Linked DNA regions of Caenorhabditis elegans. The protein of the gene in region 2 purifies or fractionates together with the protein of the main gene of each other region. This does not show direct contact. Each region holds a gene or a part of one and is shown on either strand. Other genes may lie near its edges.

Evidence for each region. The genes of interacting proteins can lie anywhere in the genome.
Region 1: the proteins of myo-5 (region 2) and C08G9.1 fractionate together in Caenorhabditis elegans (co-fractionation; one large-scale study listed by BioGRID). This does not show direct contact.

The regions. Positions count from the first base shown.
Region 1 is NC_003282.8:7,656,222-7,664,853, reverse strand, and holds C08G9.1 (Activin_recp domain-containing protein), read right to left. Parts: upstream 6,092-8,632; 5' UTR 5,795-6,091; coding exon 5,734-5,794; intron 2,971-5,733; exon of another isoform or gene 2,879-2,970; intron 2,844-2,878; coding exon 2,742-2,843; intron 1,711-2,741; exon of another isoform or gene 1,563-1,710; intron 1,229-1,562; coding exon 993-1,228; intron 944-992; coding exon 821-943; 3' UTR 688-820; downstream 1-687. Other genes in the region: C08G9.2 (uncharacterized protein), read left to right, coding at 1-183, 232-293, 361-582.
Region 2 is NC_003283.11:8,106,941-8,112,504, reverse strand, and holds the start of myo-5 (MYOsin heavy chain structural genes), read right to left. Parts: upstream 3,536-5,564; 5' UTR 3,455-3,535; coding exon 3,401-3,454; intron 2,718-3,400; coding exon 2,439-2,717; intron 2,387-2,438; coding exon 2,230-2,386; intron 2,184-2,229; coding exon 1,989-2,183; intron 1,329-1,988; coding exon 1,224-1,328; intron 948-1,223; coding exon 606-947; intron 557-605; coding exon 370-556; intron 235-369; coding exon 1-234.

The DNA.
Region 1 (8,632 bases), on a different chromosome or scaffold from region 2:
AATTCACAATTCGTGATGTTGATGCTCGACGGTTTGCAAGAGAAGTATCTGAAAAAGTGTCAACTGGTGAATGGACAATGACCCTCTCTGGGCAAAAACTGACAGCAGAGCCTCATACGTTGACAGCTTCACATGTTTCAAACGAGCACGGAAGGAAAAATACGGCCCAGGTTATCCTTTATGGTAAGAAACTACGACGTGATGTAACCAGAATAACTGTGATTCTTGCAGCAATATTACTCGCAGCTTCAATCTTCCTTCTGTGTGTTATCTGTCTAATTGGTTTTTCTTGTGTAAGTTTAGAAAACAAGTCAATATTTTTGTTTTTCGAAGTGTATTTTCATGATCATTTGATTTCAGTTCTGCTACTACAGAAATCATCCAAAAGATAGAGCTCACACTCCGACCAACACTACAACAATAACTGAACCTCGAAGTCGTCAAACTGGACTTCGTCGGGTATTTTCACGAGATGAAATATCAGAATGTTCTGATTTTAATCGTCCTCCAATGCACGACGTTTCAATGCTCAACCGTGATAGAGGACATCCTCGTTCACAAAGTTGGCTCTCAATCGGTTAACAATACGTGTTTTATAATTAATTCAATACTTATACTATGATACTTTCACATCCTTGCCATATTGTTTTCAGCTAGCATATAAATATTATTATAATTAACTTTGTTACCAGGTGAAATACATTTATTGGACAATGAAATATCATAATTATCACAGGTTACGAGAAAATTGGTGGACCACACACACGGTCCCTGAAACTCACTGAAATGCTAACAGAAAGTAGGAGAATCCATGAATCAGTCAACACATTTTGCAATGGTAATTCAGGAAAATTAGACACACAGCAAATCCTCCGACTGATAATGGAATGATAACCAGAAGGACAATAAGTGAGGAATTATTCTGGCGATACGTCGTTTCTGGCTGCAAATGTAGAGTTTTATTGTGTGAAGTTAATAGAATTGAAACTGACTTGTGGACGATGTTCAATCGGATACTGTGCATCTTGTTTCACAAACTGTACGGAATCCTTTGGATCAGGTCGAACATCAATCGATGATCTCAGAAATGCGAAGGTGTTGCAAAAATCTTCCGAGCATCTGCATACTTCTTGCCAGTTGTCCTGTCTCTCGTCACAATTCACATGAGCATTCAAAAACGGTAGTTCGTCAATAGTCCCGCAGTGTTGTCGAAGTCGTGGGACATCTCCTGAATATATAAGTTGGTTCAACTTTTTCAAGTACCTGTACTAAGAAAATTGGTTTTATAATCTATCTGCTCACTTCAGATCAATGTTATATTATTTATTCTTTTAAAACACCTAACTCTCAACAAAATTACTCTGGTCCAGGAACTTCTTTTTCGCGCCCAATTGCACCCAAAACACGCCTGAAGGGCGCTCATCCCCAAACGAAAAGCCCTCGAAACATTACATTTAATAGAGATACGTAGACATAATGTCTCTTAAAATCACACGCACTCTTCTCCATTCCACAAATTTGAATTCTCTACTACTTTGTATGTGTGTATGTGTGTGTGAATGACACAATTTGTGCAGAGCCTCACAGGAGAGGAGCTCTGTAGTAGAGATAGGGAAGATTTGAAGAGAAGTTTGTTTTGGTTCTTCTTTTTAGTGGAGAGTCCCGCGGGAATTGGTGTGCCAACTGCACCCACACTCTGCCACATCAATGCGTCATGTTTTTTCAAGAGACAGAGAGCTCCAAAAACGAGCCGACGAATTGAAGAACCCGGTGGCTGTTGCGGTGGGCTCAAAAGAGCAAGATGAATGGTGAAGAAGAGCTCTGATTGAACTCGCTGATAATTCGTTTCGCCTCCTCGTCGTTGATGTTGTTCTCGACTCAAAATGCAGATCATAAATTTTGAATAAGCTTCATGAACCTTCGCTTGCCCGATTTTTTTCGCGCTTCGATTTTTTAATTATTTTTTAAATTGTATTAGTATTAAAACGGTTCTCATGATTCAGATTTCAAATTTTTCAATTTCAATCAAATCTTTACGGAAAATATACAACTCTGTTTTCTCAAAATGTGTAAATAAAAAATGTTAAAGTCAGAATTTATTAGCAGACGTAAGCAACTTTGAGTACTTTCTTGAATTAGAAAATTGCCAAAAAAAAACTCAGAAAATTAAAAATATTCTAAACAAAAATAAAATATACTAAAATCTTTTTTTTTTGAAATCATTCAAATATTTTTGTTTTATGAAGTCATTTGTGAGTTTGCTTTTGACTATGATACCGAAATGAGCACTTTTATAGACTTTCGGCAAAGATAAATAGACTGAACTCAAATCTCTACACAAGTTTTTCGCGGTTTTTAAAATACTTATGAAATGTAGGTTGCGAATGTGGTTATACAAAAGCGATATAATAAGATACTTGTAAAATCGCAAATATTCAGCAAATTGCGACCACCGAGAGTCGGGATTTGCAAAGTACTGTTAAAATGTTAGTGGTCCGGCGGTGAAATTCGCTATTTGCAAAATGCCTCTATAATATTCGTGGTCACAGGCATTTACAAACGGCGAATTACCCTCCAAGCTTTACTTTTAAATATTCTTATCGGGTTTAAGTGAACTTTGTGAATTTCAAAAATGTTCCACATTTTCTTGCTATTTATTTGTTTTTCTTCAGTATACATACATATAACGTTTCCATAAACTTTTCAATGTTGCCTAGATGCCCGCCATCAAAAAAACTCACTGTCGTCACTTCGATGCAACCCGATAAAACAAAAATCTCCTTGACACAACAAGTTATCGTCACAAGAGTCTCGATCGCAGAAGCATTTTACTTGATGTCCTCCTGGAAATTAAATATTAAAATTTCTTTCACCAAAAATATAGAAAAATTTTGATCATATCTATTATTCAGCGTGATATTCCCAATCCCATCACCATTTTTCAAAATCTAACCTTCACAATACACTTTTGACAAAGAGTGGTTTCATTTTGTATAAGAGAGAAAAGAGGCGTTTAAGATATAATGTACCCAGGGGGATCCATTCTTTTTCTTTTTTCTTTATCCCCGCACACTTCTCACAAGCTATCGTCCTTTCGTTGATCAAATTTTGAATGAAGAAGGTCCTTCCCTAACAAGAAAAATGGATTCTAACGATGTGTGAGAGAAAAAATCCTTATTGTTTCAAATAACAAAATCTAGATGATCTCCATGACGAAACATATGTACTCTAGACAAGAAAAGTGGAATAGAGTTAGGGTGATGCCGGAAGAGCAAAAATACTTCCTGTGAGCTATTTTTTGGTACCAAAAAGGTGCATGCATGTTTTATAGAAAATCTGAAAGTTTCCAATTCAATGTGACAAGTTTTAAATCTAGTTTTTTTAAAACTAAAATATGCGTTTTTCAAAAGAAAAACATTTTTCATAACAGTATTTTATTTATTATGATGTCTACAAGTATAGGTGCTTCAGAAGAAAATTAGGTTTGCAAAATTTACCATAGAACCCTGAAATTAACATTCCATACCATAGTGATAAGGTTAAGAACTGTAGGAGCAAAGTATATTGTTTCTAAACAATTATCATTGATTTCTAAACAATTATCACTGTTTTGTTTACCACAAATATTGTTCACAAGGTCCTAAACAAACGCTCATTAAAAAAGAAATAACCCCAAATTCTTAATGGAGTCCACTACTCGTTGTGCTGCTTTTGAGACATTTCGAAAAACCTTTTTCCGCATGCCATTCGACTTGTATAAACAAACAATTGGGTCGCCTGTGGTCTTGACTTCCGGCTGGTCCAATGTCTTAGTCATTATTGGGTCACTTAAAAACTGAATGAGTTTCTCTGTTTCTCTCTTCAACTGGACCCTGTTAATGCATAGTTGAGGAAAGTGCACATCCAGATGAAATGAAAGCACGAAGTCCGCTCATCTTGCTCATAATTTATGAATTACGCGCATAATCAATTTATCTATGGAAGTAGAGGGACCATATTGGTAGGTCCTTTTAGTGGAAAAAAGTTTGGAGAATTAAATTCCATTTTGCAATAGCAAACGACTTTTGACTTTTTAAAAGTGCACCGGAAACGCTCAACTTTTATTCGCTTGGATAATAGTAGACAAAACTATCTCTAGAAAAGTGCACGGGAAGCTTTTAGAAGTATGAAAAAGGAAGGGATCTAAGGTGCGAGAGGATTCCGGACCCCGGATGGATCTGAAGTGCAAAGTGGAATAGTTTTGATGAAGGAAAGAAATTGGGTGGGTGTATGTGTAATTTGACCGACAGCCAAGACGATAGAAAAGTGCACAAAGACACGCAACGCAATTTTCCTGATGTTCTCACGATGGATAAAGAAGCTGAAGGCAAAATACAAATAACCCTTTGCTTTCAATTCTTTCGAAATTTTTGGAAACCAAATTGGAAAAGAAAATGCCAAGAATCAAAACAAAGATTTTATGTTTTACACATAAATTCAGAAATTTGGTGATAAAATAGTAGCGTCTAGCTCTATGAATCTCAAAGTTATAGTATGAAATTTACGATTTTACGATGTGTATCATGTTGTTTTTGGGAACATGTACATAAAAACCGGATGCTCTTAAACTCGGAAAATCTACAACACTACGAAATCATGTATTTAAAATTAAAAATAAGATGTATGGGCATAGAAAAGTGGTTGATTGATTGGATAATATATTTATTTTTGCTTTCCATTGCAAGATGATTCCATTTTGAACTGATACAAATATTTTTTGGCAGACTGATACCGGTAGAACATTTTCAGGTTTTTGAAAATTATTTTAACTTTATAAATAATTTTATTTTCAATTCAAATATTTTTCCATACTTTTACATTAATTTTTGAATGTAAAAGTAGACTGTTTTGTTGATTTGAATTGCTCGAAACCCCCGTTTTTTTGAATAATTATTGTAAGTGTACTTTGAACCCAAAATACTTTCAAGTTCAATTTTTTTTCAAAAAGTTGACTATGATGAATCACTTAACGTGATTTGACAAGTGGTTTTGCGGTTAGTCGTTTGGCTTTCTGCGGCAGCTCATCTCATCTTTTCAAACGAGCACCAGATAAACGCGTGTTTTTTTCCTCCTCAATCCCGGAAACTAATAGAAGTTGATCATGATGATGATGATGATAAACAACATATAAATCAGATGTCTCGAGGAAGAGCCGAGAGTTCGACAAAAAGATGAAAAACAGTTGGTGGCGGCGGCGGCGAGAAATAAAACGAAACGAATCGTCATTAATTTCTCGTTGTGAAAGAAAATAGGCGATTCGGGCTCTCGGACATCTGGAATCTAACGGGCTTTTTTTGTGAATTTTTCAATTGTCGTCATCATCAGAAGCAGTTTTTCTTTTTACAAAATATCTCATGACAACGAGAAATGTAGAATGCAAACGGAAAATATGCTTGGAAAAAGAATATAATTAGCTCAATTGTGGATGTATTCTTACCTAGACATCTCTGTTTTTCTTTTTATTTTTTTTTCTTTGAATATCCTCTGATACTGGATAATAATAAACAATATCTATAGATATTGCGAGGGAAAGCATTAAAAAAAAACAAAAATCGTTGTCAAAGATTAGCATTAACAAACTTTGACTCATCACTAGAGACCACCAATCTTTATTAATCCCCCTCAAAACCTCCCTCTAAACATTTGAATATTTATATGTTGATCTTTTCACTTCTTAAAAAAGTAAAGACATACCTGCAAAAGTAAATGAGATGACGAGAGCCACCCACAACCAACAAGTCCATATTAATCGCATAACTTTTGACGATGTGAAGAATCAGAAGCCAAGTTGGTTTCAGATAAGATGTGAGAGAAGTGTGGTAGAAAAATGAACGAAATCAGGTGCATTGGATGATGCCTCGTTCACATCCACCACATCGAGAGATAGGGAGTGTTATCGTCGAGATTCGTTGTCGTGGGGACTACAATAATTATAGGATGGTCCTCGCAGACACACGAAAAAATAGAAAAAGAGGAGGGTATCAAGGCGTCAGTGACAACATGCAGCCACTACCACCAGCAGTAGAAAAAGCACAATATTTCTTTCTCCGTCTCTGTCTATGTGACGAAGAAGCGAAAAACGAGGAAGAAGCTGGAGGAGAATGGGCGTGGCTTAGGAGGAGAAGGAGGAGGATGAAGAGAATGCAGAGGTGGAGCTACTTTTCATATTTTTCTGTCTGATTTTGGACTTTGGGCAGATCAAATTGCTTGAAGAACACGAGAAATATTAATGAAAATACGAAACAAAAGAATTCAAAAACTGGTCTTGAATATTTAAATTGGTCACAGAAAAAAGAAACCGTGTGATTTGTAGAAAGCTATTCGGGTATTAAATGTATATATGAGAAAGTAATCTGAAATTAATTAATTAATCATGGCTATCAAAAGCATGATACAAATCTTTACACTTTCATATGTATGTTGAATGAATCGATGTCAGGACCCCGAAAACATTGAAACTTGAAGATATGGTTCAAATATAAACAGGATTACTGTTTTTCGTCTTTTTTTTTGAATTTGAGTGTACTTATAGAAAGTAGTAACCTGAGTTCTCAAAATAGAAAATCACAAGGCATGTGAGACAGTAGAATTGTATTGCTTTCTGATCAAAAGTAGGTGAATGTATCTATAAATGATACTCACTCAAAATTTGATGCAGATAGATTCATCCAGTTCCATATTTAGAACATCTTAAAGGTGGAGTACCGAAATCTGGGAATATTTTTAAATTACTCCAAATTTTCTGATTCCGAATATCGATGTGAAATATGAAATCAGGGCAATTTTTTTGAAATTTTTAACATCGATATTCGGAATCAGGGGCAAATTTGGAGCCATTTAAAAATATTTCCCAGATTTCGGTGCACCTTCTTTACAGTAAGTTTTAAGAAACGCTGAAAACTGTTTAAATGAGAAAATATTTTGGTTATAAACTACGAAACAAATTCACGGCGGAGATCAAATTCATCATAATTAATCTTACTTTAATCTTTCTTGTAATGCTCCGAATAGCTGTACATCAACTATGTATATATAGTAATCAATGAGATATGTATTGAAACAGTGAAACAGTAATAGTTGTGGATGTGGTTTCCAAAGATTTTGGACGCTTTTTTCGAAAAAGCTAGGTTTATCACAACTTTGAGATCTACTGTCATCTTTGGATAATTTTTGTTCATCCTGGTCTTCTCGAACTGTTTTCAGATTTCTATTGCAAAATGGAACTTAGTAGTTTCAATGCATCGAATAATAACACAGAATTCAATTCAAATTTTGACATGAATATATTTCTTGAGTATATCTTCTAAATGTAGGAAAACTCATGAAAAAATCACGACATTCCTTGGAAAATGTTGGAAAAACGGGTCCGTCATCATGCACCTTTTCCCTGAGGGCAGTCTCACACACTCTCACATACAAAAAGTGGCTAACAACAAAGCCAATTCTTCTAACGGGCGGTGCTCGGTTGAACAAAAAAACGTTTCTGATCGAGATGGCAAGGGTGGATGAAAGGAATGAATGGACTGACTGACTAGTTGAGTGGGAAAAAGGAGCACAAGAGTACATTTAGAGACAAATGGGGAGTCAGTGGCTAAGAGACAATGGCTCTTACTCCATAAAATGTCAAATGTGAAATGGAAAGTGAAGACGGGTCACGATTACTAATTGAGCCACGTCGTCTTCAGTAAAATAATCTTCCGTAAAGTTTCCAGAGGCACAACTGAAACAATTGCAAAAAAACCTTACCCTTGGGCAATTTTGAAGTTTGAACACTGCAATGTCAATGGTTCCTACTTGATTTTTTCGTGATTTTTTTTCAAACTTTCTTAGCATGTTAACAAAAAAGTTTAGTGGCATAATTTTAAAACACTCTGGCAACAAATAGATACCAACCTTTTAAAAATCTTAGCGATTCAAATTTTTCGAAACTTCTTGTTTTAAGATGTGCTACCGAACGGTATGTTTTTCGAAAACAGAAAAAAACCGAGCAGCATTTTTTTCCTAACTTGGCCAGGTAGTTTATCTGGTTTCTAACTTATTAAATTTTTTTCTAGTTTTCAAAGACAGTCCCGATTCGGACCCTAGAAGAAGAGTTACAAATTTTAAAGAGGATAAGCTTTAGAAATTGCATAACTGTGACCATGATTTTTTTAGAAGAAACTTCCAATAAAGTACACAAGTAGTCATTTTTTTTGAAGTGGAAAAAGAAAGGAATCTCGAAAATCAACAATTTAGTGTGTAACTGCTTCTTTTTTCGGCAGAGGAGTAGGAGACCCTCTTCTCACTTCAAAATCGAATTTAGTTATTTCTTTGCTCCCTCGGATACAAAAACTCTCGAATGTCAGTAGCTCTTCAGTCGAGATACTTGTCTGCTCTGTGCTCTTAAAATGGAAAAGTAAATAGAAAAAGAACTGGTGGGATGTGGGAAAGATTTTGTTTCAGGTAACACAAGGATACGTTGAAATGAATCACATGACAAACTAAACTTGATTTATGTACGTACAAGGTAAAGGTTTTTTTTTCAATTTCCGAAAATCGGATAGAAAATATAAAATAGTAGTATAAATATCGGAAAAGAAGTAGTTAGAAGAAA
Region 2 (5,564 bases):
GCCTGCAAATCAAGTCCGAAATCAATGAACTCCCATTGAATTCCTTCTCGTTTGTATTCTTCCTGTTCCAACACGAACATGTGATGATTGAAGAATTGTTGCAGTTTCTCGTTCACAAAGTTGATCCAGAGCTGCTCAAAAGAGTTCAAATCGAAAATTTCAAAACCAGCGATATCGAGAACTCCGATGAAGAAGTCACGAGACAAGTCTTGAGCGTCAAGAGTCTTGTTACATCTGAAAATAATCTTCAATTAAACGTAAGTGACTGTTTTTTTGGTTTTTTTAAGCTTTTGTAATGTACCATTTTAATCCCCGCTTGCTACGCAAAAACAGTTCAAAATAAAATAGCGCCAATAATGTTGTTCTTACCTTCTAATAAGCCAAGAGAACATACGGGCAAAGAGAGCCTTAGCAAGAGCGCCAACAGCCCAGTTAACCTGATCCAGGTTCTGTCCCTTATTGACCCATTCGGTTCCAACCTTGACACGTGGCTTCAATAGAGCATTGATGAACTTTTCAGATTCAACGCAATAAAGCTTGCAAGCCAACTCTCCTTCTGAATTCAAATTTTGAAACATTTGTTTTTTTGAAGATCCACAACTTACCCTTTCCTTCTTCCAACTCTGCTTGCTCTTCTCTTGGTCTTTGCTTAAACTTGAGCTCTCCCATATGCATGATACCGGCAGTGATTGCAAAAAGTTCAGACTTTTCGGTAGCAGTGAACTTCATGATATCGAATGCTTCATCAGTAATAAGCATTTCCTCCTTGTCATCAACTCCGTCAATAGTAACTTCGGCTTGCGACACGAAAGTGTACTCCTTGATTGGACGAGTAAGGAAAAGCTTCTCTCTGAGTCCCTTAACGGCATCAGAATAAATTTGGTAAAAAATGTGGTACGATCTCTCTCCGGGAGCTTGTTTGATGACACGAGATTTTTCCAAAAGATCTGAATAGAAAGTGTTGATCACGCAAGTTGAGAATTAAATTTTCTGGTTCGGCGATTGCCTGTTTGTAAAAACCCTTCAATAACGCTACGAAATATGATTTTTTGACGATCTCAACAACTTTAAATGAACTTAATTTTTAAATTCGAAAAGCAGCCCTTCGCTTGAACTTTTGAGTGGCTGAAATTGCAATCCACAGTAACCCTACCTTACTCTTACAGTAATTACCGATCAGTGATGCTGTTAGTCGCTCTGATATCAAACTGCAAACCACTTACAATGTTCAATATCAGCTCCGGCCACTTTACCGCCGGTGTTGAAATGGATTCGGATGAATTTTCCGAATCTTGACGAGTTGTTGTTACGAACAGTTTTGGCGTTACCTGAAATTTCACTTTTCAAAAAAATGTCCTTCAATTTCCAAATGTCCCCCTGTCTTTATTGGCATTTCAAGAGGATGCATGTGGGGCTCTCTATCTCTCACTTTTTCCTCGAAATGTTTCATCTACAAACAAAGTCAAAAATGAAGTGAAAATAGAGAAAGTAAGGCAGATAGAAGAGACACTCGAGAATCGACATCTCGTACACAACGCGTTGTCATCTCCTTGTAAATACAAGCAAATAACACATTGTGAGGTAGGATTTTTTGGGTGACAAGAGGGATAGAAAGAGTACACGGGATATGGTGATAAGTGACCAAAGGCAAAGAGTTGACACGTCGTAAGGCTACTTGCACGCAAAAGGCTTAAACATCACAATTTGTCTGTAGTATATAGGTTTTGTGATTACTAGGTCAGCGGGTTCTATGAGTTACGGTATTTTTGGTTGTACTTGTTTATTTTTTCTTTAAAGAACATCATTGTAACCTTTATTAACTTATGATACACTACGTTCTCACCTCACAATTTTTAATATATAAAAGTTTTTTTTTCCATGGGAAAATCTGGTAATTGTATAATCAAGAGCCCTAATTTTTCACAAGTGTTTGTCAAACATTTGATAAGATTTTTGATCTCCCACTTTACACTACCCTAACCACCAACCAAAAGCTTCCAGCACCGGATTGGTTTGCACAATTTGATCCTCGAGCGAGACTTGCGCTTTGTCCTTTTTGCTCTTTTTCTTGTTCGACTGTTGCGATGCTCCGACCATTGCAAAGTACGAGATGACCTTCTTCGTGTTTTCAGTCTTTCCAGCCCCAGACTCTCCGGTAATCAACATGGATTGATTTTCACGATCTGATAATGTACATTATCAAAAATAGTTAAAATTGAAATTCCATACCGTTGGTCATATTTCTATAAGCTTCATCAGAGACGGCGAACAAATGAGGTGGCATTTCATTTCTCCTTTTTCCCAGATACATTTGACACACCGATTCCGAATAAATCGGGAGACGTTTGTATGGGTTGATGACGACACAGAAAAGTCCGGAATAGGTCTGAAATAGTTTTAAAGTTTTCATGACTTCCTCAGAACATTCAAAAACATACATAAATCATCATCGAATAGTAACGTTGACGAAGGTTATGAAGAACGGAAGCATCGTTGAGGAATGTCAAGTTAGCCATATCCTCAGTTTTCTCGTACTTTGGAGGGTTCATCTGTTGAGCATCGTCCTTCTTGATCGTCTTCTCAACTCCTTTCGATGTTACCACCACCACTGTATCTCCCTTCGAAGACTTGATTTCAGCGGCGATGAATCCTTCCTCTGGGTCGGCAACCCACACATTTTTCTTCGAATCGAACTTCTTCGTCGTGGCCGCCAATAGCTGAAATATAACGAATGAATTGGGGGAATTTTTATGTTCATTTGTGATGTCTCTACAGGATAGTTTGACTGATAATAATCTATAATAATTCTGTCTTCCCATGGTAAAAACTTGAATTATGTATTCGATGGGTTTTATTGATTTTTTAAGATAAAATCACGTAACGCTTGAATTAAAATCAAGTGATGATTATTAGGATATTAAATGTTATATATAGTTATAAAGTATTCGAAATGAGTACTCAGAATTAGGGTTTAAATATTTTCGACACCTAAGTTTGACCTAAATACAGATATTACTTTTACAAAAATAATTATCTCCTTAATGTTTCAAATGAATATGTTGTGACACATCCAATCGTATATTTGAAGAAATGCATTCATTGTCAAAAAGCCATACGTCTTTGCTCTTTTAGATACATATAAACTAAATTATCTCTTTCATTATACAGTTCCATCGATCAATGTTGATCTGTGTTTTGATCTTTTAATAAAACTGCAAGACATCAAAAATGAACTCATTGCAAAATCTTCCCCAATAAAAAATCTTAGATACAACATCGATTCCCTCGCGGATCAAAAAATACTCGAGATATTCTTGTTGACTCTAGTACATCATTGCGTGAGAGTAAGAAAAAGTAAAATGCAAACAAATCGAAAGAGTGTGAGAGAAGATAGATCTACCTGTTCTGGCGACTGGCGAAGAAACTGCCAGCCGGGATCCGCTTCGTGTGTCATTTTGATCTACTTCTTTTTTCCTTTCTTACTGTACAACAACTTCTAATCGATTCTCTATGTGAGGAACACCGGCCGCGATGTCTGAAATAACACCAAGTTCATAATTGGGTGGCACTGATTAAAAAAATATAGAAGCTGAAAAGGTATTTCGAAACATCGCAAGATCAAGAGGTTTGCAACAAAAAAACAAGTAAATATAATGATAGTATCACAATGCAAACAAAGATAAGCGTTGGCGAAACAAAAAAATATTGGAAAAATGAACAACGAGGTTCATTAAAAATCATCAAGTATTGTAGATCTTAATGAAAAAGTAGTGGACTGATTCCGAGAGTTCTGAAAAATTGTGACTGGGTATGTGATGTTAAACTCTATTCGACAAAACAATAAAACTTTCACAAAAAATTCAAATAACAAAAAACTAAACATATAATTGAATCATTGAAAAGTGGTGAAAAAGTATTTCCCCAAACAGCCTAATTACTGCAATTAGACAACTTATAATATCGGTTTATTATATAAACATCTAAAGGAAAATTATAGAAAAAAGAAGACGCTTTTAATATTTCGCTTGATGAAATATTTTTGATTAAAAAAAAATTAAAATCGAGACTAAATCTCCTAAAGCTGATCCAAAGAGTGCAATACGGATAGAAGAAGTAATAAAAAGAAACATAAAATCTACATAACCGATGAAGAATGTGAACAATGAAACAAAAAAATCTGAGACAGACAAATTTCGGATGTTTTTCGGCATTTCGCGCATGAGCTCTTGAAAATTCAACTCTCAAAATCTTGGCGGCAACTTCAGAAAACAAGAAAATGTGGAAATAATTGGAGGATTAGTAAGAGGGTATGAAGAGAAAGGAGGGCACCCGTAACTGTCTTTTCTTCTCAAGAATGCACATGCGATAAGTGGGAGGATTTTGCATCTGCGGCAGCCGCCCGCGCCGCCAACCCGACAGGAGCACGAGCTTCCCGTGAGCCATCCAAGCAGAGACTTACTGTTTGTTGTATATCTACGGAGGGGAAAGGCAGATTCACATCTTTCTTTATTTCTCTTTCATTTCGGTTCCCTCCTCCGCAAAGTCTCCAACGGCACACTTATCCTCCACCTCCTTACGTTGCGTTGTTGCTCGAAATTGTTTGCCTCGTCGTCAAAATTACACGATCCTTACAGCATTCCCTACTGACTGTCTGTGAGGGGGAGAAATGAGAAAGAAAAGTCGGCAGAAACATTTGAAAGTAATGTCCAATGAGCAAGATTTTACTTAACAATCACAAATCAGTGTCATCTTTGTTTGATCACACATTTCTTTTCCCGGAACATCCTGATCATCGGGTCAATTCTTTTTTGTCTTGAGCTTGATTCTTCTCGCGTTAAAATACAGTTAATTATGTCTTTTTTTACTCTCCAATATTTCAAAACCAAATGAAAAAGTGAAGCCCATTTCTCTAATGAACAAAAATAATTAAATGTTTTGGTGCATACTGTTTTGGTGCACAGTTAAACTGTTAGAAACATAATTATTTATAACGCTCAGAATAATTCAAACACTTGAGTAGCTCCAAATCAAACTTCCAAGCTAGCGAACATTGCCACAATTATCGGTTTTCCTATATCGCACAATGTGAAATTCCTGAAATCACCAAACTGATAAAATTTTCCGGACCGCAACTACCTCGCTTCGCACTTCTGACAATTTCTACTAATTTTCAAATACATACTAGAACCCTATAAATGTAGTTTTATCAACCATTCATGCAAAAACTTCTAGTTGAGAGATCAAATCACATAGACTTTCTGTGAGTTGAATGAATTCAGACAGAACTTGATGGTTCGTCGATTTGTAGAAACCAAAAAACGTATTTACGTGTAGTATGATGAAATAAATATGTAGAAAGGAAGTACACATTCTCTACAACATTGGTTTTTTGGACTTCATTTTTTGTGATTACTGTTGATAGTGTCTTACTTTCCGTTTCAATAAGAAAATTCTTTCCCCAGAGCAGTTCACAAACATATCAGCAATTAAACGTATTTATTAGACTATTAGAATTCACCCGTTGAACTTTTGAGATATATTTTAAATTTTCACCAACATGAGCA